3 linked regions of the Arabidopsis thaliana genome follow. The protein of the gene in region 2 purifies or fractionates together with the protein of the main gene of each other region. This does not show direct contact. Each region holds a gene or a part of one and is shown on either strand. Other genes may lie near its edges.

Region 1 (7,936 bases), on a different chromosome or scaffold from region 2:
TGACATACGATTGATGAATCGTATCACACACCTAATGGTAGTGAACCAACACAAGATATGTAATCAGGAGAGGACTCTCGAAGATTCCCAAGGTGAAGAAACGAAAGAGGATACCATCTCAAGCTCAAACTCAAACTGCAAAGTGGCTTTGTCAGAAGATATTCAGAGATTAGGATTAGGGTTTGGTAGTGTCTTTGACGAATTTGGTTGCGTAATATTACGTGGATACAACTCAAATCTATGTAATTCACCTTTTTTGCATTCTTGGTGATTGATCGATTATTGTAGTATCTTAACTTGTATGTGTTGCTCCATGTTTGTAAAGTTGGTAGCTTTTATTCTCTCTGTTTATTACTAGAACTAGATATAGACCCGCGGTACACCGCGAGTTGATTATTTGCGTTAGAAATTAAATTATTTTTTCAATTCAATATCATCTACATTTAGATAATCAAGTTATATTTTGAATTTATCATCTTACTTTTTATATAGATTTACTTTTGATGTTATATTAGTATTTGTTTGGTTTGATTCTGTTTAGTTAAGAAAACCTGTTTATTATACGCATCATTATATAGAATGTGTATTTTATGGTGCATTATGATGTGTTTGTTATATAGTTTTTTGTTAAAAATAAAAGTATTAAAATTGTTTAAATTTAATTTTATATGTAATTGTAGTTATCTTTAAGAAAATAATGTTTTTCTGTATGAAATAGATGTATATTATGCTTGGAAATTTATAAAATTCAAATTCTTATTGTAACACAAATACAAAAATTCAATCACTTAAAATTCAATCATGTAAGAAACCAAGATAATCCACAACTACAGCAAAAGGCTCATTCTTGTTTCAGAAACGTGCTAATGAGAATTGAACAAGTCTTCACTAACAACTTCAAAGATAATAATCACTCCGTCACAGTGTCATCACTTACCCATCTCTGCAATTTGACGACTTTCTTAATCTTTTATGATACTGCTATTGCTTGTTTAACAAGTATTTTTTTTATAATCTTGATAACTTTTTTTCATTTAACTTACATTAGCGAGTTCCCTATGAAATTACAGACAAAGATGTTTCAAATGCCTACTTTTGCTTGCAATATCCTTTAAGCTCTTTTAAGAATATCTTGACCTGAAACCTTCTGTAAGAGGAATGACTTTTGCGGATACTTTCGATTGCAACTTAAGCACAGCTTCACGGATTTCCTGCCATTGCAACCACAAGTATTAAGATGAAATACAACATAAGGGGCTAAAACTTTTACTAAGAACATGAAAGCCAAATTCAGACTCTCACCTCTACATGGTAACGTGATGAGAAATGCGTCAATAATACAGTTTTGCTCCGGATCCACTTTGCATTCTCAATAATCTGCAATTTGTTCATGGAAAATTCCTCTTACAGTGTGCTTTTTACAGGTGTGTTTGAACATAAATAGGATCGTACCTGAGATATATGAGTATGACCGAGTGCTTGCGCATGCTCAGTGCTAAAACTTTCATCCAAGAAAGTTGCCTGCCAGATCGGTTAAGCTCAGAAACTATAACATAATCCAGTGAAGTTTTAAAATGATATAACAGTACCGCCAATAGGATTCAAGTAAGTACCTCAGTTATAAGAACTTTTGCCCTCAACGCATCAGCATTACGAGGGTCAAGCATATACTCTGAAGTTGTATCTCCAGTGAAGGCTATCTCGGGGGATAATATCGTGTCCGTAATCTGTAATTAAGTTCAATATTATTGTACTTTATCAAACCTCAATATCAGAAATATGGCTTATTATAAGCAACAAACCTCGACGCCAGACTTTTTAATCTTTTCTATCTGTTTTCCTTTGAGGTGAGCATACTGCTTCTGCAACTTCTTCCTGACCGAATAGATGACATAACCCTAAAAGAACTCAAGATCAGTAAAAAAAAAAGACGCTCTCATGCCACATTCACGATGTGTAGTACCTGACTTGGTATAACATGGTGAGTTGCAAATGGTCTAACAACAATGTCATTGCGCAACTCATATGTTTCACCTGCCACCACCAACAAAGAACTCAGATTCGCTATCTAAACAAGGTTGGCTTTTAACAAGTCACTATGTCATTACCTACAGCAAGTGGTATCAATTCTACATTCAACTCTACTTGACCCATAGTCCTGTGAATCTCAAGAAGTTTCTCAACATCTTCTTTAATAGATGGTGGCACAAATATTTTCGGTGGCTCAAGATTGTATAAACCACGGCTCGCTACATACATTGGAAGCCCTCCCTGAAGAAAACACTAAACTTAGCCACAAGATTCATACAAAAGATCCCATAACTCAATCAATAAGCAGAAACATCAAACCAAATCTAAAAGTATGTTCAACAAAACTAATCCTTATCCTTCCAAATCATAGTACAATGGCTCTATTTTGAACTAAAATGTATCATCAATTCAACACTAAGATTCATCCACAATTCAATCAAAAGGCCGAAACTTTAAACGAAATCTAAAGAGGGTTTTGAAGAAAGACTCAAATTTTGAACAACTCACGATATGGTCAAGATGGGCATGAGTGATAAAAAGAAACTTCTGCTGAATAGCACGAGAAGGGCACCTCCCAATATCAAAGACACATTTGAGCTCAGGGACGATAACACAAGTCTCGTGCCCACCTACAGAGATCCCTTCAATTGCATAACTCTCCAATTCGACACCTTTACGGTTCACTGCAGCGCGTGCTTTCCGATACTCTTCTTCTTCCTCAATAGCTCGGCTAATCGATGAGAAATAGCCAGAGACTTTGACGGGACTCACGAAATGTCTACGGTTGCTCTGTATCTGTGCGGCGAGCTGGTGAGTAATCACTGGAGGTTTATGGTGTTTGGTGGAAGGGAAGATTTTGGGAGGTGAAATTGGAAACGAAGAAGAAAGCTGCATTCTTTTGTGAGGTTTTACGGAGGTTTTTGGGGTTTCCTCTGTCACTCAGACATGAAACGATAGAAAATGCAAAGAACGGCCTTTTTCTTGGGATTGAGTGAGACCAAATTAAACTGATCTACTACATATGTATAGCTCCGGTTTAATGCTGGTTAGGATTGTTTTTCGGTTAATTTGGTTTAGTATAGATTGTAATTTGTATATATGTATCCAACATTTGTAACAAAATTTATAGAGGTATTCAACTATTCATCATACAATAAAATTTTATTAATTTATAAAAGTACTATTAATTTATAGAGAGTTTAAACTAATTTTGTAATTTTTAAAAGATTTTTTCTAAAAAAGATTTTTTTTATTTGTAATTATTATCTTTTTAGAACCAATTACAAAATAATTAAAATTTATTATGTATAGACAACAACAAAAAGAGTTTTGAATGTAGTAAAAATATTAAAAATGAAAAAGGAATATAGCAAAGGTTATGTTTCACTAAAATTTCTTATATATATATATTTTAAGGAATTTATAAAATTATTAATTTATGATATTGATGAGAGCATATTATATTAATTTTATACAATGATTTTTTTAATAAAAATTATTTTATTAATTTATCGATTTGTATTAATTTTTACTATAGTTACAACTCAAAATCGGAAGAATTTGTTAATTTATAAAAACTATTAGTTTATCGAATATTAATTTATAGAAATTTTACTGTAATATTATAATTTTTAGAGGTTTAACTGTTTTTTTTCTTTTTTTTAAGAAAGGTTTTACGGTCTTAGATCCAAAATTGATATAATACTCAAACCGAACTAACGATTTTTCAATCCAACCAAATAGAAAATCGAAAAACTAAACCAAACCAAATGTCAGATACTCAGATTGAATGAGTGGTAAGGTTCCGTAATAAAACCTAAAACTAAGGGCAACAATCAAAACACGTTTACTTTTATTATAAACAGATTTCTGGAGATATCGAGAACATTTTCGCAGCCGCAAGCTACAAAACTTTTGATCCCAAATTCAACAGATATCTCTGAATCTATCGCTTCCAAGGGTTTTCTCTAGCTTAATCTCAGATTCGAATCGTTCCATAGTGGTGAGCTTCGTGTTCTTCTTTCGTCTCTTACTCCTGATTCTCGATTTTAGGGTTTTCAGTAATTGCGTCGGCGGCGAAAGTCTTTATCGCCGATCGATCTTCCTTATCTAGAAATTATTGATCAGAAACTGTTGGGTTTTGTTTGATTCTTGTCAAGTTTTGATTTTTCATGCGAAATTGCTCAATCCCAATTCAAAGTTACGATTTTTATTGAAAACCCTAGATTGGTTTCTTCAAGTTTGTCACTTTGATTCAATCTAATAGCTTAGCTTAATCGTTAAGTCTCTTTTTTGGTTTTAGGTTTCATTTGCGATTTAAAGGTTCTTGTTTTGGTATTTGTTTTGCTTTGGTCCTTTAAGTTTGAGAGGCTTATGTAGATTATAAGAGAGAAGAGTATTGCTTTGCATGTTTAAAGGAAGAACTTTTAACTGAACATTTGTATGATTGGTATGTAGATACTATGCCGAAGAACAAGGGAAAGGGAGGAAAGAACAGGAAGAGAGGAAAGAACGAAGCAGATGACGAGAAGAGAGAGCTTATATTCAAAGAAGATGGACAAGAATACGCACAAGTCCTTCGTATGCTTGGAAATGGAAGATGTGAAGCTATGTGTATCGATGGAACCAAGCGTCTTTGCCATATCCGTGGTAAGATGCATAAGAAGGTTTGGATTGCAGCAGGTGATATTGTGCTTGTTGGTTTGAGGGATTACCAAGATGACAAAGCGGATGTGATCCTTAAGTACATGTCTGATGAGGCTAGGCTTCTTAAGGCTTATGGTGAGCTTCCAGAGAATACTCGTCTTAATGAAGGAATTGTTGGTGATCTTGAGGATGATGATGATAATAATGATGATGACTATGTTGAGTTTGAGGACGAAGATATCGATAGGATCTAAGGCTTTGTTTGTTTTTTTTTTTTCCGGCTTGTATTTCCAATTTGTGAGACGTATGACTTCTGGTGATAAAACATCACTGTTGTTGCAAGATACTTACTGTTTTATATTTTGTTCTTCAATATCTCTATTGTTGGTTTCCTTGGTGTTCTTGTTGCATAAGTTTGTCTTTCTTCGCAATCCATTCAAAATGTTGTGTGTCACTGTTGCTTCACACTCTTAAGTTTAGCTGGTACAGAGAAGATGAATCGAAATGATTATGCGAATGCTGAAGCTGAAAGTGAATTCAGTTCAGCTTAAGAGAGTAAAACATAGTAAGCTGATAATGCTTGATATAGAAAGCATTATGTTGCATGGATTCATATGGATGACATACATAAAAGTGGGCACCAAAAATACAGAATCTACTTGTCCAAAGAGAGAAAATTATATACTTCTCCTGCCGAATATGAATACTAAAGACAGTTTAACTTGTTAACAAAACTCAAAAAAGTTATATACTTCTCTTGCCGTATCGAATCTCTGCCTTCATCTTCCTGATGAAATCCTCACATTTCTTGTTCAAATCTTCTGAACTTAATAAACTATCATTTATCGCATCGTCATCATCATGATCATCTAGTCTAGTGATTGAGAGGTCTTGTACTAGTATTCCCTCATCTTCCTTAACAACCAATGCAACTTCTTCTTCTTCTTCTCTAGATAAAACAACTCTTCCTTCTTCTTCTTTAGAAACATTACTTTCTTCAAGTAATGCCACTACTTTATTGACTTTTGTTTCTTTTAAGTCTTTGATCCCTACTTCTTTGGTTTGTTCAACGATGTTAATGGCTTTACCGTGCGAAAGGGAGTCAGAATTCCCATGGAAACTCCCCAAGATAAAGCCCACAATCCCATTGCATAACAAGAACATGTACTTCTTGTCCACAAGATTGCTATACATGGCAAGCAAATGGAGTCTTTGTTGAAGAGAAGAGATTAAGGAAGAGTAAGATAGTATAAATGAGAAAATGGATGCAAATGCTATGATCTTAGTGACTATTTTCATCTCCTTCACGCTTCTTTCTTGTTTTTGAGATTCCATCTCATCTATCTCTATCTCTCTCTTTATATCTCTCTTGCTCTATGTGTCTTGCCTTTGAATTGAGAAAAAGAATGGTGAATGCGCAACAAGTTTGCGGAACCTATTTCTTTTTTATAGATTAGTGGGTGGGTTGTGTATAATTTCACCATTTTAATTATTATTTCTTTTGGTTAAATTACTCTTTTGAACCATTCACACCAAATTAATCTTTAGTTTTTTTTTGTTTGATTATTTTTAATATATCCCTAACTTAGCTTAAAAAATTACCAAATAGTTGTCGATAATATAAGAGATATTTTTTGAATACAGTAAAACCTCTATAAATTAATAATGTTGGGATTGTGAAATTTTATTAATTTAGAGAGGTATTAATTTATCAATAAATTAATAAAAATTACCAAATAGTTGTCGATAATATAAGAGATATTTTTTGAATACAGTAAAACCTCTATAAATTAATAATGTTGGGACTGTGAAATTTTATTAATTTAGAGAGGTATTAATTTATCAATAAATCAATAAATATTAATTTATAAAGAGATTTTCCTAATTTAATAATTTTTAAAAAAAATTATAATTTTTTTATTATAGAAATTATGTTTCTAAAACCAGTTACAAGTAAAACATATTAATAATTTCTAGAAAACAACACCAAAAATTTTGATAGAGTAAAATATGTAAATTATAGTAAAACAAAGGGTAAATATGAATTTAAGCAAAAAATTATTATAAATATATTTTTAAGAATTTTATTACATATAATATATATATATAGTTGATACATTTATATAATTATTAATTTATGATATTGATGAGACCATATATTTACATAGAACTTTCAAAAAAATTATTATCTTATTAATTTATCGATTTGTGTCACATTTTACACTGGTCCCAACTCGGAACCTGAAGAATTTATTAATTTATAGAGGTTATTAATTTATAGAGTATTAATTTATAGAGGTTCTACTGTACTAATTGAAAAACAAGTATTATTATACTTTATGTGTATAAATGTCTTAAAATTATACTTTTAGAAATCAATAGTGTTTTTTTTAATACCAAAAGGTTATGGGTCGAAGTCCGTAAACCTCCATGCCAAAAACCACAACATGTAATATTAGTTTCGTTCCAACCGTCACTCGAACCGGTGACCTCTATGTTTCGTCTATAGTCTTTATCAATTAAGCTAATGTCACTTGGTCACAACTCAAACAATAGTGTCTTTATTGTCAACTGAAACAAATGTTTATCAAAAATATCAGTTTTGTTTTCTGAAAAGATAGCAAATGTTTAACAACAATCGGTCGCAACTCAATGCTACTACCTTCCACGAAAATTCTTGAGTTCGTGGATTTTTGTTTTTGTCGTAAGCTTCTTTTGTCTGCCTTTGAAAATGTCATTAAATATGCCAAAACTAAAAGACCATTGACTTGATTTGTGTTTTGTCACAAAAGGCCATTGACTTGATAGATGTATTTCAAAGTCAGCTACTCTATGGATGCTTGTCGTTCAATGTCGCGTTTTCTAAATTTCGTCATTGTTACAGGAAGGTTTTTGGTAGGTTAATAATAGAAAAAAGGATCAAATCTTTTTAGGTGAAAGAAATAGATTGAGCCATCATTATTGGTGGGCCCTGAAGAAGAGGTAATGGTGTCAATGTGTTTATTTGTGGTTTCCCAAGACTTACGAAACTCAATTTCTTTTTAAAATAAGATTGTTGTCGGTGAAATGGAGTAATAGGATTCAGGAAGGTAAGGACAAAGCAAAGCCACTAGCTTGGCGATTTTTGGCCGATAAGAATTTACATTACAATTTGGCTTTTCTAAAGATTTTATTACTAAAGATCGATAACTGATAAAACATAGAGAATCACATGAACCATATTTCAAAATGGTGAGAACATTACACTCATTACATCAAG
Region 2 (8,444 bases):
TGCATTTTAGAAATAATCTTCTTGAGCTCTTGGTAGATATTTGTCAGCTACTTCATCCTACAACATTTGTGAGTAAGGTGTGCTCTCACTTCACAGGCAGGATTTACCCTAAATTTTAACATATTGGACTATGTCACCTTGAAATCAGCTTCTTTCTCCTATATCTTATCAGTTCTCATGAGATGATTTCACTCTGTAACTGTCTAATACGTTAGTTATCGTGAACAGAACAGCATTCATCTGGTGTCTTGAGTACTTTTGTTAGAAAATTGCTTGATAAGTAGATTTTGCTCTTTCTTGTTCTGTGATGAAGTATGATTTTTTCCTTCTTGTGTTATATTTAACCTTTTCTTGCCGATATACCTGTAGTTATTTTTTGGTGGTGTGCCTTCTTCAAGTGTTTCGATGCCCTTGAGGGAGATTGAGGCGAAGTTGTTTGCTCTTACTGCGGTGAGCACTTTTGAGCTCTTTTCTTCCAATCAAGTTATTTCATCTTAAGTTTCTGATTTCAGAACAACCCAGAGGGGTACGATCACATTGTATGGGTTTTCTACTGTTAGTTGTTTTGTCTCTTTTAGTGATCCATCCATTATCACTTTTTTTTTTGGAGATTTGGAAATCATAGCTTAAGTTTGACAGTTTTCAGGAGTTTTAGTTTCTATTGTTCATCCCTGTCTTTATTAATGGATTCTACCATTTCAGGTTTCTGAAATTATTTTGCAAGAGGGAGAGGCCTTTGATTTTGCATTGATCATGCAATTGGTTTCTGCATTTTCCGTTAGGCCGTCCAGCGAGCTCAAGGGGTTTATATCTGTTGTATGTCAGTTCATACCTTTGCCTCACCAACAATTTTCTTGTACTGTAAATGCAGTCAATATTTGACAATAATCAACTATTAGGTATACAGATCACTGGCAGATGTTGTTGGCTCCTATTCAAGATGGATCTCTGTTTTTCCAAGTAACGCCAGACCGTTGCTGTAAGTCTAGTTTCTTCAATGACCGTTCACAATAATGCAATAATTTTTTTAGCATATTAGCTTGAAACTGTTCATATTTATTTCTTTTTTCTGATGCTATTTTTCAATCTTGTGTAAGGATGTTCAACATCAATTTCTCTGATAACATAAGTGCTGCATGGTCTTTCTGGTTTCAGATTATTTCTCGCAGGAGGGATTTCCGAACCTATTTGTTCACATGCTTGTGCTTCTGCTCTGCGTAAAATTTGTGAGGATGCTCCTGCTGTAATCCAGGAAACATCGAATTTAGATATCTTAATGTGGATAGGAGAGGTATCAGCTTAATCAGACCCTTTTTTTAACTGTCAAAGCAAACTTCAAATTACGCTGAAATTATATCCTGAATCATTATATTTATATATATTTTTTACTTTTCTTAGTGTTTGGAGCAGTGGGATTTGACCTTGGAAGATGAAGAAGAAGTCATTACCGCTATCACTGTGATCCTTGGCTCTGTTGCTAATAAAGAGCTACAAAATAAATTATTAACTCAATTGCTTTCGTCAAGTTATGGAGTTCTTTCGAAACTTGTAAGTGTTTATATTGTTCAGTTAGAAAGAGTTATTCTTCAAGGTTCTCCTTCTCATTCTTTTTCTTGTACAAGTAGCTCTTTGCTTTTGCTCTGCATTAATGAAAAAATAATCAGCTAATTGTCCACATACTTCTCTGAGGCCAGTATTCATCAATATCTCAGCTAGTAACTAGAAAAATAAATAGATAGTACAGAAATGATACCTGGAAGATGATCTTTTTCTTTCTGGGATTATTTTCTAATGTTTCCGTGCCTTGATGCACTTCTGAGATAGATTTGGACTAATACCTTTGTGGTTTTAGGTAGATGAAGACGCTGAGTCTTCTGGTAGACAAAGTCCAGCCACTTATACACGAATGCTGAGCTCTGTTACAAGAGGTCTTTACAGGTCTGCTTCTGTGACTGATCTATTTTCTATCCTGCTTAATTGCGATGTAATCTAGGAGCTTTTTGGTGAACTTTTTGCTGCGTCCGGACTTCAAGACATCTATAAATAACATTGTCATAATTTTGTGTTATATATATTTTTCTGGTAACCGGGCGCAAAATAGATTTAATGACTCTGATCAATCCATGGTCTTTAGTAGCTTGCACTCTCTGGTAGTTTTCTTTTGAGGTGTACTCAAATTTGGGAAGAATATCATATTGATGACTTTGCTCTTCACTCGTTTCATGAATCAGGATAGGAACTGTATTCAGTCACCTTGCAACGTCTCTGCCATCTGTTCCTGTGGCAGATGGTCCAATCCTTTCTTTGTTGACTGTTTTCTGGCCCATTTTGGAGAAGCTATTTAGGTCTGAACACATGGAGAGTGGTAGTTTAGCTGCAGCAGCATGCCGTGCTCTTTCAGTGGCAGTTCAGTCGTCAGGTTTCAAACTTCTCATCTCCCTATTTTATTCCGCTACATTCGACTCGTTGTGCCTTTATTAGCCTGGAACATTTCTTTATTCCAAAGCGTCCTTTACACCTGTGAAAATTTCTTGTTTTCGCACAGTAGGCAGGTTTCACTAACATGTGAAAATTTGCATTATTCACAGGTGAGCACTTTATGCTGTTACTACCTAGTGTACTGGATTGTCTATCGAGAAACTTTCTGTCATTCCAAAGCCAAGAATGTTACATAAGAACAGGTGAGGGTTTCTTAATTCAGGTACAGGCTCCACTTTTGGAGAAAAATCTTTTGAGATGCTAGCGTTGATTCATTTGTCACAGTTTTTATTGGCGAGCTTGGATAAATTATTTCCCAAACTTAGTTTATTGACCAGCCAGTTGTCTGAACTTCACCTTTTCACGAACTTGTTATCACAGCCTGTGTAATCGCCGAAGAATTTTGTCATAAGGAGGAATATGGGTCCTTATTTATCACTACGTTTGAAAGATTTACTCAAGCATCATCACTGATGGGCATAAATTCTTCATATATATGCGACCAAGAACCCGATTTGGTGGAAGCGTATGTGAATTTCGCATCAGCACTTATCCGTAGTTGTCATAAGGTTTGCAACCACTCTTTGCTTGTTAAAGTATAACTTTCAGTTCATAATTTCTTAAGGAGTCTTGGGGTGAATTTATATTGATCAAACAGGAGTTGTTGGGTACTTCTGGAACACTTCTTGAAATTTCTTTCCACAAAGCGGCTATATGTTGTACAGCTATGCACAGAGGCGCTGCTTTAGCTGCAATGTCATACTTATCAGGTAAGGTTGCAGTGGTTTACAAACGAAAACAGCATTAATTTTTGGTTATAAGCATACTTAACACAATGTTTTCGAACTTTATAGGTTTCTTGGAGGTTTCACTTTCTTCCATGATCGAAACCGTGAATAGCATATCAGATGGATCATTCAGCGTGGTCTCTGTCCAGGTCGTATCTCACTGTGGAGAGGGACTTTTGTCTAATCTGGTCTATGCTCTACTTGGAGTTGCAGCTATGTCAAGGGTAAGATTTTTGAGTAAGATCTCTCAAAAAGTAGTTGATGGATTATGATATTTGATTCTGTTTTTGTTTTAGGTCCATAAGTGTTCAACGATACTGCAACAATTAGCTGCAATCTGCAGTTTATGTGAGAGGACTTCATGGAAAGGAATGTTGTGTTGGAAATCTCTCCAAGGATGGCTAAACTCAGCGGTTTCTCTCTTTCTCTTGTGATCACATCAACACCAAACTCCGCCTCTGTGTTGTTTATTCTAATGGCTTTTTTTTGTTTGTTTGTATTCAGGTTTGGGCACTTCCGAGCGAGTATCTAAAGCAAGGAGAAGCAGAAAGCATAGTGAGGGAATGGTCAGAAGCTCTAGGAGGTGCAGGGATCGATTATCTTGAGAACAAAAGCTGCAATTTTGGAAGCAATAACAGTTCAGGAGGACATATGCAAGGGAAACACGGTCGAACATTGAAGCGATTAGTGAGAGATTTTGCGGATTCTCATCGAAACGATCCAAATCCAAACATCATATGAATAAATCAATCGATAAACTTTTTTTTTTTGTAATGTTTATTTTATTTTGTTGCCTTAATAATGAGGGCAATGATCCATCATCTTCTTCATTTCTGTCGATGCTCTGTTTCTAATGTACAGTAGGAGAGGAAAAGAAACCTCATGAAGAATCTTGAGCCATTTCTTTTAGATTCATCTGATGAGAAGGATAATAATATACATCCCATTGTTAACATTTAACTCTCATTTATTTATTTTGAATCTATGAGGCAAACCAATAAACGGCACGCAGTTTGAAGGCGTCTTGGTAATGTAGACTACAGCCAGTTCCACTTTTCACGTAATTGGGCCTTTTGAGTTAAGATAAAGCCCATTAGCTCGCTTTCCATGTGGTTTGCCACGTGAGTATCACGTGATTGGGTTGGGAGTTAGAATTTGGGGAAAACCCTAGGCCAGTCAATTCTGGGAGGAGAGAGGCCGCCGGAGGAGAGAGAAAAAGAGGTACGAGCTTACGTTTTGCTTGCTCGATTTCAATCTCTCTGCATAATGGATTCAATCTGTTCATCGTAATCGTTTATTCAAAAGTTTCGATCTTTACTTCACTTGAAACCAAAATTCGTAGTGTTGTGTCCGAAATTCACGCTGTTCAAAGTACTCATTTTTGAAACTTGATTTTGTTCTTCTTGTGTAGTTGGGGGATTGCTTTTTGATTTCTCCTTCTCCATCTTCGACCTCGAGAGAAGCTAAAAATGGCAGAAGAAGCGGATACGAACATCGAGATCTGGAAGATTAAGAAACTAATCAAGGGACTTGAATCAGCTAGAGGTAATGGAACGAGTATGATCTCTCTTATTATGCCTCCTCGTGATCAAGTATCTCGTGTCACAAAGATGCTTGGTGATGAATATGGAACTGCTTCAAACATTAAGAGTCGAGTCAATCGTCAATCTGTTTTGTCTGCCATTACTTCTGCTCAACAAAGGTTGAAGCTTTACAACAAGGTTCCTACTAATGGTCTTGTTCTCTATACCGGCACCATTGTTAATGATGACGGTAAAGAGAAGAAGGTGACGTTTGATTTCGAGCCCTTTAGGCCGATTAATGCTTCCTTGTACCTTTGTGACAACAAGTTCCATACTGAGGCATTGAACGAGCTTCTTGAGTCTGATGACAAGTTTGGTTTCATTGTTATGGATGGTAATGGGACACTGTTTGGAACTTTGAGTGGGAATACTAGAGAGGTTCTTCATAAGTTTACTGTTGATCTCCCGAAGAAGCACGGAAGAGGAGGACAGTCTGCACTTCGTTTTGCCCGTCTTAGGATGGAGAAGAGACACAATTATGTTAGGAAAACCGCTGAGCTTGCTACACAGTTTTACATCAATCCAGCTACGAGTCAGCCTAATGTCTCTGGTCTGATCCTTGCTGGTTCAGCTGATTTCAAAACTGAGCTCAGTCAATCAGAGTTGTTTGATCCTCGTCTTCAAGCTAAGATATTGAATGTTGTTGATGTTTCTTACGGAGGTGAAAACGGTTTCAACCAAGCGATTGAGCTGTCTGCTGAGATTCTATCCAATGTGAAGTTCATACAGGAGAAGAAACTGATTGGGAAGTACTTTGAGGAGATAAGTCAAGATACCGGGAAATACGTTTTCGGTGTGGAGGATACTCTAAAGGCTCTAGAAATGGGTGCTATCGAAACCCTTATCGTGTGGGAGAATCTGGACATAAACAGGTATGAGCTAAAGAACAGTACGACAGGAGAAATGGTGGTGAAACACTTTGGGAAAGATCAAGAGTCTGATACAAGCAACTTCCATGATTCAGAGACTAACGCGGAGCTAGAAGTACAGGAGAAGATGCCTCTACTCGAATGGTTTGCAAATGAGTACAAACGTTTCGGCTGCACTCTTGAGTTTGTGACTAACAAATCCCAAGAAGGGTCACAGTTTTGCAGAGGTTTTGGTGGGATTGGTGGTATGTTACGTTACCAGCTTGACATGAGGACATTTGATGAGTTATCAGATACTGAAGTTTACGAAGATTCTGATTAAAGTGGGAAAACTTTTGGTGATGGTTTCAGATCGATACAGTGAGGGAAAATGTGGCATAAAGATGGTCTTTTATCAACAAAGAAGAGAGATTTAAGTTTCTTGTTTTCTATAGAACATTAAAAAGCTTGACTCTTTCTTTCTGTTAGACAATTTGTGTTGTAATTTTTGAGGATTTTAAACATCTTTTTGTTGTTCTTCTGGTTTTATATTTTCCGAGAAAATCATTGGTGAAGAAGAGACGGAGATAACGATGTTAGCCATGTTACTCTGTTTTCCTTAAACGGTGTCGTTTTCGTCAATTATTAAAATAAACTGGATGACTGGAATATCCATTTGCTTTTGAGCGAGTGATAGAAGCGGAGGCGATTTTCTAGGGTTTTTGCTCGGAATCGATTTCACGATGGGAACGAGCAGCGATCCGATTCAAGATGGTTCCGATGAGCAGCAGAAGCGATCAGAGATCTATACATACGAAGCGCCATGGCACATCTACGCAATGAATTGGAGCGTTCGTCGCGATAAGAAGTATCGTCTCGCCATCACTAGCCTCCTCGAGCAATACCCGAACCGTGTCGAGATTGTGCAGCTCGATGAATCCAATGGTGAGATCCGTTCCGATCCTAACCTCTCCTTTGAGCATCCTTATCCACCAACGAAGACCATTTTCATACCTGACAAGGAATGCCAAAGACCTGATCTTCTCGCTACTTCAAGTGATTTCCTTCGTTTATGGAGAATCGCTGATGATCATTCCCGTGTTGAGCTCAAATCTTGTCTCAATAGCAATAAGAACAGTGAGTTTTGTGGTCCTCTTACTTCTTTTGATTGGAATGAAGCTGAGCCACGTCGAATTGGAACATCTAGTACTGATACGACTTGTACTATCTGGGACATTGAGCGTGAAGCTGTTGATACTCAGCTTATTGCTCATGATAAGGAAGTTTTTGATATTGCTTGGGGTGGTGTTGGTGTTTTTGCATCTGTTTCAGCTGATGGCTCCGTTAGGGTGTTTGATCTTCGTGATAAGGAACATTCGACGATTATCTATGAGAGCTCCGAGCCTGATACTCCTTTAGTGCGTCTTGGTTGGAACAAACAGGATCCTAGGTACATGGCTACTATTATCATGGACAGTGCTAAAGTTGTGGTGCTTGACATTCGTTTTCCGGCTCTTCCTGTGGTTGAGCTTCAACGACATCAAGCTAGTGTCAATGCCATTGCTTGGGCTCCTCATAGCTCTTGTCACATTTGTACTGCTGGAGATGATTCTCAAGCTTTGATTTGGGATATTTCATCCATGGGACAGCATGTTGAAGGTGGTCTTGACCCTATTCTAGCTTACACTGCTGGTGCTGAGATTGAGCAGCTTCAGTGGTCCTCTTCTCAGCCTGATTGGGTCGCAATTGCTTTCTCTACTAAGCTGCAAATTCTCAGGGTTTGATCTTTTCAAAGAATTTCTCATCTCTTGTCAGATTAGATTTTACTCATTTTCTATCGTATTAGGGGTCTCGTTACCCTTGTTACTATCCTCAAGATGTAAAGACTGTTCTCAATCGAATTAATGAATCTGTTTGATCTTGTTGCTATACTCAAGATGCAAAGCTTAGCACTGACTCTTATTGATGTATGATTGATAAGAAAGGATAATCCTTTGATCTAGATTTTTGCTTCATTGCTTTTTCTCTCGTAGCACAATCTTTGCAGTATGATCCATGGGAAGTGTGTACCTCAATTGTGGATGATTAGGTTTAGTTTTGTATTTGATTAGAGCTATGGACTGCTAGAGTTAGTTACACCTCTCAGTACCTATTGTATTTCTTGGAATAGCTTTCTATAAAGTCAATGCGCAAAACAAAAAGGTACAGAGACATAATGACACATCTTTCTTTGAGATTACAAAGACAAAATGTGTAATCTTTTAAATGGCTAAGAAGGAGCAAGAAGGGTCACACTTCTTAATGTGTCAGTGATTTTCATCTGCAGCATAGAGATGTCAGAAAAGCTATGTCGTCGAGTCACTAGATCAAATGTGACCACATGATGGAGAAGCCCATCCACTTGTGAAGCCCAAGTGAGAAAATCAAAAATATGTGTGAATCATAGAAAACGTGAAGAGGGAAGAGAGATAAAACCACAACCATACAAATGAATGACAAAGCTATCCAGAATCTCATCTTCTTTGCCTCCAACTCAGCAATTCATATTTTCCTATATTACAACTCTCTGCCTCTTCTGCTTACATCATACAACAAGCTTCTCTCTCTGGTAGCCATGGCTTCGGCTACTTTCTCTGTGGCCAAACCATCTCTTCAGGTTTTGTTTCATCTTCCTAACCACATTATCTGATTGCCCTTCACACAAGTTTTATCATCATCTCATAAATACTCTCATGTTTTACTTTTTC
Region 3 (7,467 bases), on a different chromosome or scaffold from region 2:
TACACTCGTTATAATAAATAACAATTGACCGTTCATGATATGGTCAAATCCAACAAAATTTATGATAAAATGGAAATAAATAGAATTATTGGCTAGCATGAGCAACACAATTAATAAGTAAATGGATTAAAAACAATATAATATGTGACTACATTTACAAATTTAGATAGGAAAATGGTAATATATGATTGTTAAAGTAAAATATTCTATTCATACATCTCTCTTTTCAAATTTAGATAACGAATGAGCCCTAATTTAAAATGGTCTAGATGTCTTTAATCACTTTGACATTGAGAACTACAAGAACATGTTCATATTGTCTACAGCAAAATTCATACATTATATAACAATATGAATAGACTTTAAGGGACAATCAAGCAATGAAGTGTAATACTATATATACATCATATGTAACAATAATAGTTTCGGATATGGGACACACAAGGAAATGAAAGGAGTGGAAGGATTCTCTAGTTAATTTAATTGTCGTTTAGTTGTAAATCGGTATATTATTTGTCTAGACTGATTAGCGGATAAAACACCCACTTCCTAACAAATTTTACTTTATTTTTATATTCATCAATACAAATAAATATCTTATAATTTTTTACACATTAATAGTTGTGTTAATGTATGTTCGAATCAGTCATACCAAAAATAAATATATGTTTGAATCCATATTTTTTTATATATGTATTAACATATTTCAAATACATCTTCAACTGTTTTTCTCGGTTATCAAAAATAACATATGTAGTCAAATAATTAAATGTGAACATAAGTTTCGTTTAATGTGTGTTTAAATACTTACAATGTTCTATTTATTAATCATATATTTAATGTGTGTTTAAATACATAATTGGTCTGTATGCATTTACCAAAAAAAATAAAACTTATAAGTTTTAACACAAAAATCATAAATTTAATTTAAAGTAATTACATGTAAAAATAATATGTGTTAAATATGTTTTTAAAAGGGAACGTATATTTTTATGTTTAATATGTATTTAAATCATAACTTACATGTTTTTTTTAACATAATAACCATAGCTTTTAATGTTTACTTGTATCCATAATTTTTATATATGCATTGATATATTTCAAATGCATCATCATCAAAACTCTATCTTAGTCTTTTTATAATAAATAACAATTGACCATTCATGATATTGTCAAATCCAATAAAATTTATGGTGAAATGATCAAATGAAAAGAAATAAAATTATAGGGTTATTTTCAAAATGGGCACATTTTTTAAAAAAATCTTTGATATTGGGCACTTCCCGATCAAAATGGGCACATTTTAAAAAAAATCTTTGATATTGGGCACTTCCCGAGTGTACTTCGAAAAATGGAACTTTGATCCCTTGCAATTGACGCTTTTGCCCCTAGCAAAGTGATGAGACATTGACGTTTTCCTTAGCCGTCTTTGTAACTCTGACGACTTTTTTTCTCCGAATTTCTTCATCTCCATCTTCCTTCATGATTCCTTTTTTATTTTTCATTTTTCTACAAGATTAAATCGTTTTTAATCAGAGAAAAGTAAACCCTAAGATAGTATAGAAGGAACCCAAGTAAAATGTTTTACAAATTTTGTGACTGATTTGTTCTATTTTTGTGATATTGAAAAGAAGAAGAAGATGAAGCTTTGAAGGAGAAAGAGCCTCTGCTCGCCGGTATCGAGTTGTTGTTAGCTTCCGTCGCTTTCTCTGTTCCATTCAGCTTTGGTCACCGCATATCTAGGTTCGTCGACATTGCTCATGACTTGTGAATTTATTCTTTAGCTTCGATATGATAATTGAAGAGTAGAACGGTATATTTTTAAAGAAAAAATGCCGATTTTCGTAAGTACATACGAAAGTACATATGACTACATTTATAATCACAACAAAATAGTAATATATGACCTTTCAAGTAATATATTCTACTTATCCATCTTTTTCTCAAATAAAGATTACGAATGACCTCCGGTTCAAAATGGTCTAAAGCTCAACAATCACTTTGTAATTTAGAACCAAAAGAATAAGCTCATAATTTCTAAATCAAAAGCCATACTCCTCGACTCCTCAATTAAATAGATATCTAATTCACTAGCATTATTAGCAACTTGAAGGAATCTTAAAAAGCAAATTCATTTTACCATCAAAATCGATTTCTCTAGTAATCGCAATGAATAATTAAACCATGAGAATTAAACTGTAGAATATTGGAAAATAAAAACTAATCAATCAATTTTGACGAATGAATTTTTTTTTCCAAAGACAAGGTTGGATGTCGCAAGCCTCTTTCGTATAGGGTTCTTTTCTTGGTTGCCCTTTTCAATAGAATATAACTAATTTCTAGATTTTATATATTACAGATTATGATTATTCAATATGCAAACATATAAATAGGTGAGAAAGATATAATGGAAGATGTCTTGGTTTGTTATTATGCAATATATGTGGTCAAATTGATATTGGAAAGTAATGAAGATAAGCTCAAAATGAATATAAAGATAGAGAAAGTAGAAACATGATTATGTGAAATCGATCAATGTTTTTGAGCATCAATTCCCCATTTCAGTCAAGACAAAACAAAAGATAGTCGGATTAATAAATCCATGATTTTACAAGTTCTCATACTATAATTAAATCCTTTAGAGATAAAAAAATATATCTACATGCATGTATTATTTGGCAGTAGAAAGAGAGATTATGTTCTGATCAAAATCTCTTGTACAATATATGTGATGAAAGGAAAAACTTTATAGAAGATGTGATAATTGTAACTACAACATTTCATCTATTTATTTAATTTATGTCTTCGTGCACAAATATTTAAATGTGTATTGTAAAAACAAAATCTAAGGCAAGACAATCTATTTTAATAAATTTGACAATATTAAAATGATGTAATAGTAACGTAGGATAAAGTAATTTTATGTTTATATTTATTTGTATTGATGAAAAAGAAAATAAAGGAAATGAAATGTGTCTCTTAAATTATAGTTTTAAAATAATAATGATATAGATAATTAAGTATATTAAAACTAAATAATGGTATTAAGATAAAACGAGAGAAATCACATGTCACAAAGAGATGTCATATGTTCACAAAGACACAAACTTTCTAATTAAAAAAAAAAAAACTCAAAGTCTTATTAAGAAAAGAGAGCTGCTAATTTATGTAGAAATCTTTCTCCTTTCCATACTAAAGTCCAAGCTTTACTCTGGGCAATGAAGTGTATGGTTGATGCAAACAACCAATAAGTAGTTTTTTTAACAGACTGTTCAGATTTGGTGAAGATAGTATATTTCCCAACTAAATGATCAGCATTTTCAACATATTTAAAGGAGTTTCAGAGCGACAAGGAAGAGTTCACTTCTTTTTCTTTATCTTTAATTTTTCGTAATGTAAATGTCAAGGCGGATAATAAGTTTGTGCTGAATCGTTTCATATCACTTATATAAACAAGTTTCGTCAAGATTGGCTCGTTTGAACCGTAAATAATATATGTTGACAAAAAAATAAAATAAAAAATGGCATGACTCCGTAATAAAACCTAATTTCGAGGGTGTTTTACAAATAGCTACACTATTTAAATAAAAAGACGTCTCTTGCGACATCGATAAAAAAAAGTAGAACAAGCAACACAACGCAGCTAAGAAACCTCCTTAAAGAACAAAGAAAAAACTTGGTGAAATCGATTCTCTTCAAAGATCGTCTTCCTAATCACTTTCAACAACTCGATCAATCCTTACTGGTAATCTCTTCCTTCCCTTTGTTTCTCAATTAGGGTTTCCTTTACACCGCCTTAATTTTTCAATTCAAACTCCAAATTAGGGTTTCCACTGAATTGAAATTACCCAATTATGTTTCGATCTAATTGTTTCTCGTTACCGGAATTGTTTTGATCTGAATTTTGATTCTCGAATTTGCCATTTTTTGTCTGAAATTGAAAAAAAAAACGAATCAATTCTTCAACCTTTTGTAACCTTTACGCCATTATATGATCAGATTCTGATTCTGTATCGAATTTGATACAGAGACGATGCCGAAGAACAAAGGAAAGGGAGGAAAGAACAGGAAGAGAGGAAAGAACGAAGCTGATGACGAAAAGCGAGAGCTTATATTCAAAGAAGATGGACAAGAATACGCACAAGTTCTTCGTATGCTCGGTAACGGTCGATGCGACGTTATGTGCATTGACGGTGTTAAGCGTCTTTGCCATATCCGTGGTAAGATGCATAAGAAGGTTTGGATTGCTGCTGGTGACATCATACTTGTTGGTCTAAGAGATTACCAGGATGATAAAGCTGATGTTATACTCAAGTATATGTCTGATGAGGCTAGGCTTCTTAAGGCGTATGGTGAGCTTCCGGAGAATACTCGTCTTAACGAAGGTATTGTTGGTGATCTTGATGATGATGATGATGTTGTTGGTGAAGATTACATTGAGTTTGAGGATGAGGATATTGATAGGATCTAAGTTTGTTTTTGTTGTTGGCTCTCTGTTCCAGCTTGTATTATCAAATTTGAGATACATATCTTCTTAGATACAGAAGATTGTGATACTATCATTGTTATGTATTTCTGGGGTTTCCAGTTTCTTATCCCTTACTATTACTGGTTTGATTTGAATCCCTAAATAATTTACAGAAAGTTGTTATCTGATTCGAAAGAACAAACTTTTGTGATTTAAATGCAAAGATTTACAGGTAATGCTTATCTTAGGTGCTGCTATTTAGCTTATGTGAGGTTTCTTCGCATTCGTTTCCTGTTTTGCAGCTTGTGGGTGTGGTTTTGGCCTTCTTTGCTTTCTTTGTTTGTTGTTGCAGATCACTTTTGGTGGCCTGAAGCTGCAAACGTAAAACGAGACAGGTAAGTATGTTTGAGATAGATGGGACTCAGAAACTTCTATGCATTGTGGGGTTTTTTCTTTACCTTGTGATGCTTTCTCTGGCTTTTGTAGCTTGGAACAGATTTACGCTTAGATATACTTGGTTTAAAACTACTTTTTTCGGTCTGCAAAACTGTAGTTGCATCTCCTTGTGTCTCTGATATGCTTTCAAAATGGAGAGGTAGGTCGTTGGAAGCACAGCTCTCCAACTCGCCAGCTGTACCAAAAGCTCTATTCTTTCTTATCAAGCTTTGATTTTTCGTTGCAACATCTGTTCTTGGTTCAATTGGAATGCTGTCTGGTACACGGGTTGCCATCCAGCGTTCTAACCAACTCCAACCGATATTGGAATCATCTTCACTGCTACGATCTATTTGTTTCTTCTTTGAGCAAATTCTTAGCTTTAAACAAATGTTTCACTAGTTTAGAAAAGATAAGTTCTTTGGATCTTTTAGGATTCAATCTGTGATCAAGTGTTTTGAAATCGTTTACCTGCTGTGAAAATGCATACGCAAGTGCTCTCTCCCGTTTTGTCATTGCTTCGACTCTGCTTTGAATCCTTGATTTTGATATGGTGCTGCTCACTGTACTATCATCCCAGTCTTCCTGTTACGTGAGCATGTTATGGTTATTTTTCACTATTTCTTTGAATTCCTCTATACTGGACGAGATCTTTACTTACCTTTATCCTCAGAACTTGAGTGTTGTTCTTCTGTAGTGTTCTTCGATTCGCAGATACTCGCTTTCTCCTGAAAAATGGTGCTTTCACGGAATTACCTGTCTGAGCTTCTAGTGATGTCCCCATGGATGCATTGTCTTGAGATTCCTCTCCTGAGAAGCTCTCCTCCTTAGCAAATGTTTCCTCTTCTTCTTTGCTCCGGCGTATTGCCTGAAGAAATCCTAACAATCAATGTTGTGGACATACCAGAAGAAGACAAAAAACATATTGAAGGGAAAGACTAACCAGGTAACTCCTGAATGCTGACTGAATTATGACTGCAGCGTCTTCTTCGAGGAACAACTTGGAGATTGGAGTAGTCTGATGCTTCTTGGGTATGTGTGTCTCTGTTGCTTCGCTTTGGTTATCTTCAACATCTTCTTCTTTTAGATAACAATCCAGTCCTTTCGATTTCTCCTCCAGTAAAGGTTGAGTCACTGTTGCCTCAGAGCTCTTAACGGAACCAGAGTCCTCATCCTCCAAATGTCTCACAGAAGCTGAATCTTCGATTGCGATAACCGAACCAAAAGGCATACCGAACTCTGAACTCAGTTGCTGAGACATTGTAAGAAGAGCCTCAGAATCCTTTATCGATTCTGAATCATTCACAGCGCGAACAGAGTTAAATTCATCTCCGCAAAGGTATGATCTAACCGAGCTCCATCGTTTCTTCTCTCCTAGATTGCCTCTTCCCTGAAAACATTACAACATTTGAAGTAGTAGATAAAACAAAAACCAGAACGATGATGGGTTTTTGATGAAAATGACAACCACATACATTGTTGTAGTCATGAGCTCCAAATGATTTGTTCCTGAAGAAAATGCTTCTGACTAATCCTCCTGTAACACCCATTGTTTCTCTCTATGTTTCAGAACAATTTGGATAAAGAACTTGGGAATTGAGAAATGGGAACAAACACACATGTGATGAGATTGATTACTCTATATAAAAGCTATGAAAGAAGAAAAAAGAAAAAGAAAGGTGCATTATTTTAGAATCACAAGCACATGAGTCATGTACAAGAGTACATGTAAAAAGAGATTCAAAGGACATTGTATTAGAGAGAAAAAGAAGAAAAGCTGAAACATAGCGTATAGTGCAATTAGTGATGATTGTGATCCAGAAGAAAAGCATCTCTGTAAATGAGAGAAATATATTTATATAATGATTTTTGAGTGAAGTCGTGAGTGTTTGTGGTCTCGACTTTGGATTACTTTAAAGAGTAATAGAGAGATGCTTTGGTATGCACATGGAGATCATTGGATTGGTTCTTTTCTTATGCAAACGGCAATTTCACTCTATTCACTTTCCTAATGGCTTTGCTTTTTTTCTTTTTATTTCATTGGCAATGGAAAAGTTATTTGGTACGGTTTACTCTGTTTTGTGACTAGAAAAGGTAATGATATTGTACGAAACCAACTAATTTTGTTGGATTGCGTTTGGAGTGTTGTGGTAATCTCACAAAAGTTTTAGGTCGAGGTTTAGTTATTACGATGATAAAATGAGAACGAGATCTTAATAAAAAAAAAATCTAATTGAGATTAATGAGGAATTGCTTTATTGAAATAGATCTAAATCCGTAGAATTGAAGGAAGAACTAAAAAATGGGGTATGAGGTGTATGATTGACGCCGATAACCAAGATGTAGTTTTCTTAACAGACTGTTCAGACCTAGTGAAGATGGTGTCTTCTCCACTTCAACCGAATGACCAGCTTTTTCAGCTTATTTGAAGGAATTACATAACCACAAAGGAGAATTCATTAGTTTTTCTTTATCTTTAATCTCTCGTGGTAAAGCGGATAATTTGGCACGGAAAATCTGTACTGAATCGCATCATATCACATATGTAAACAACATTCCTTATG

Evidence for each region.
Region 1: the proteins of ERF1-2 (region 2) and AT2G04520 fractionate together in Arabidopsis thaliana (co-fractionation; one large-scale study listed by BioGRID). This does not show direct contact.
Region 3: the proteins of ERF1-2 (region 2) and AT5G35680 fractionate together in Arabidopsis thaliana (co-fractionation; one large-scale study listed by BioGRID). This does not show direct contact.

Annotation. Positions count from the first base shown.
Region 1 is NC_003071.7:1,571,797-1,579,732, reverse strand, and holds AT2G04520 (Nucleic acid-binding, OB-fold-like protein), read left to right. Parts: upstream 1-3,772; 5' UTR 3,773-4,033; intron 4,034-4,488; 5' UTR 4,489-4,493; coding exon 4,494-4,931; 3' UTR 4,932-5,171; downstream 5,172-7,936. Other genes in the region: CPZ (Metallo-hydrolase/oxidoreductase superfamily protein), read right to left, coding at 1,122-1,211, 1,303-1,377, 1,453-1,521, 1,614-1,727, 1,803-1,898, 1,964-2,034, 2,109-2,271, 2,539-2,925; AT2G04515 (uncharacterized protein), read right to left, coding at 5,422-6,012.
Region 2 is NC_003070.9:4,394,151-4,402,594, reverse strand, and holds ERF1-2 (eukaryotic release factor 1-2), read left to right. Parts: upstream 1-4,401; 5' UTR 4,402-4,487; intron 4,488-4,677; 5' UTR 4,678-4,735; coding exon 4,736-6,040; 3' UTR 6,041-6,247; downstream 6,248-8,444. Other genes in the region: AT1G12930 (ARM repeat superfamily protein), read left to right, coding at 1-77, 370-450, 703-816, 900-979, 1,156-1,291, 1,399-1,548, 1,853-1,938, 2,232-2,419 and 6 more; ATAN11 (Transducin/WD40 repeat-like superfamily protein), read left to right, coding at 6,441-7,481; GAPA-2 (glyceraldehyde 3-phosphate dehydrogenase A subunit 2), read left to right, coding at 8,186-8,353. UniProt on the Arabidopsis thaliana protein: Directs the termination of nascent peptide synthesis (translation) in response to the termination codons UAA, UAG and UGA. Modulates plant growth and development.
Region 3 is NC_003076.8:13,855,156-13,862,622, reverse strand, and holds AT5G35680 (Nucleic acid-binding, OB-fold-like protein), read left to right. Parts: upstream 1-3,609; 5' UTR 3,610-3,745; intron 3,746-3,999; exon of another isoform or gene 4,000-4,028; 5' UTR 4,029-4,033; coding exon 4,034-4,420; coding exon of another isoform or gene 4,421-4,471; exon of another isoform or gene 4,472-4,472; coding exon 4,473-4,538; 3' UTR 4,539-4,702; downstream 4,703-7,467. Other genes in the region: iqd33 (IQ-domain 33), read right to left, coding at 4,713-4,841, 4,927-5,283, 5,375-5,488, 5,565-5,771, 5,847-6,293, 6,379-6,453.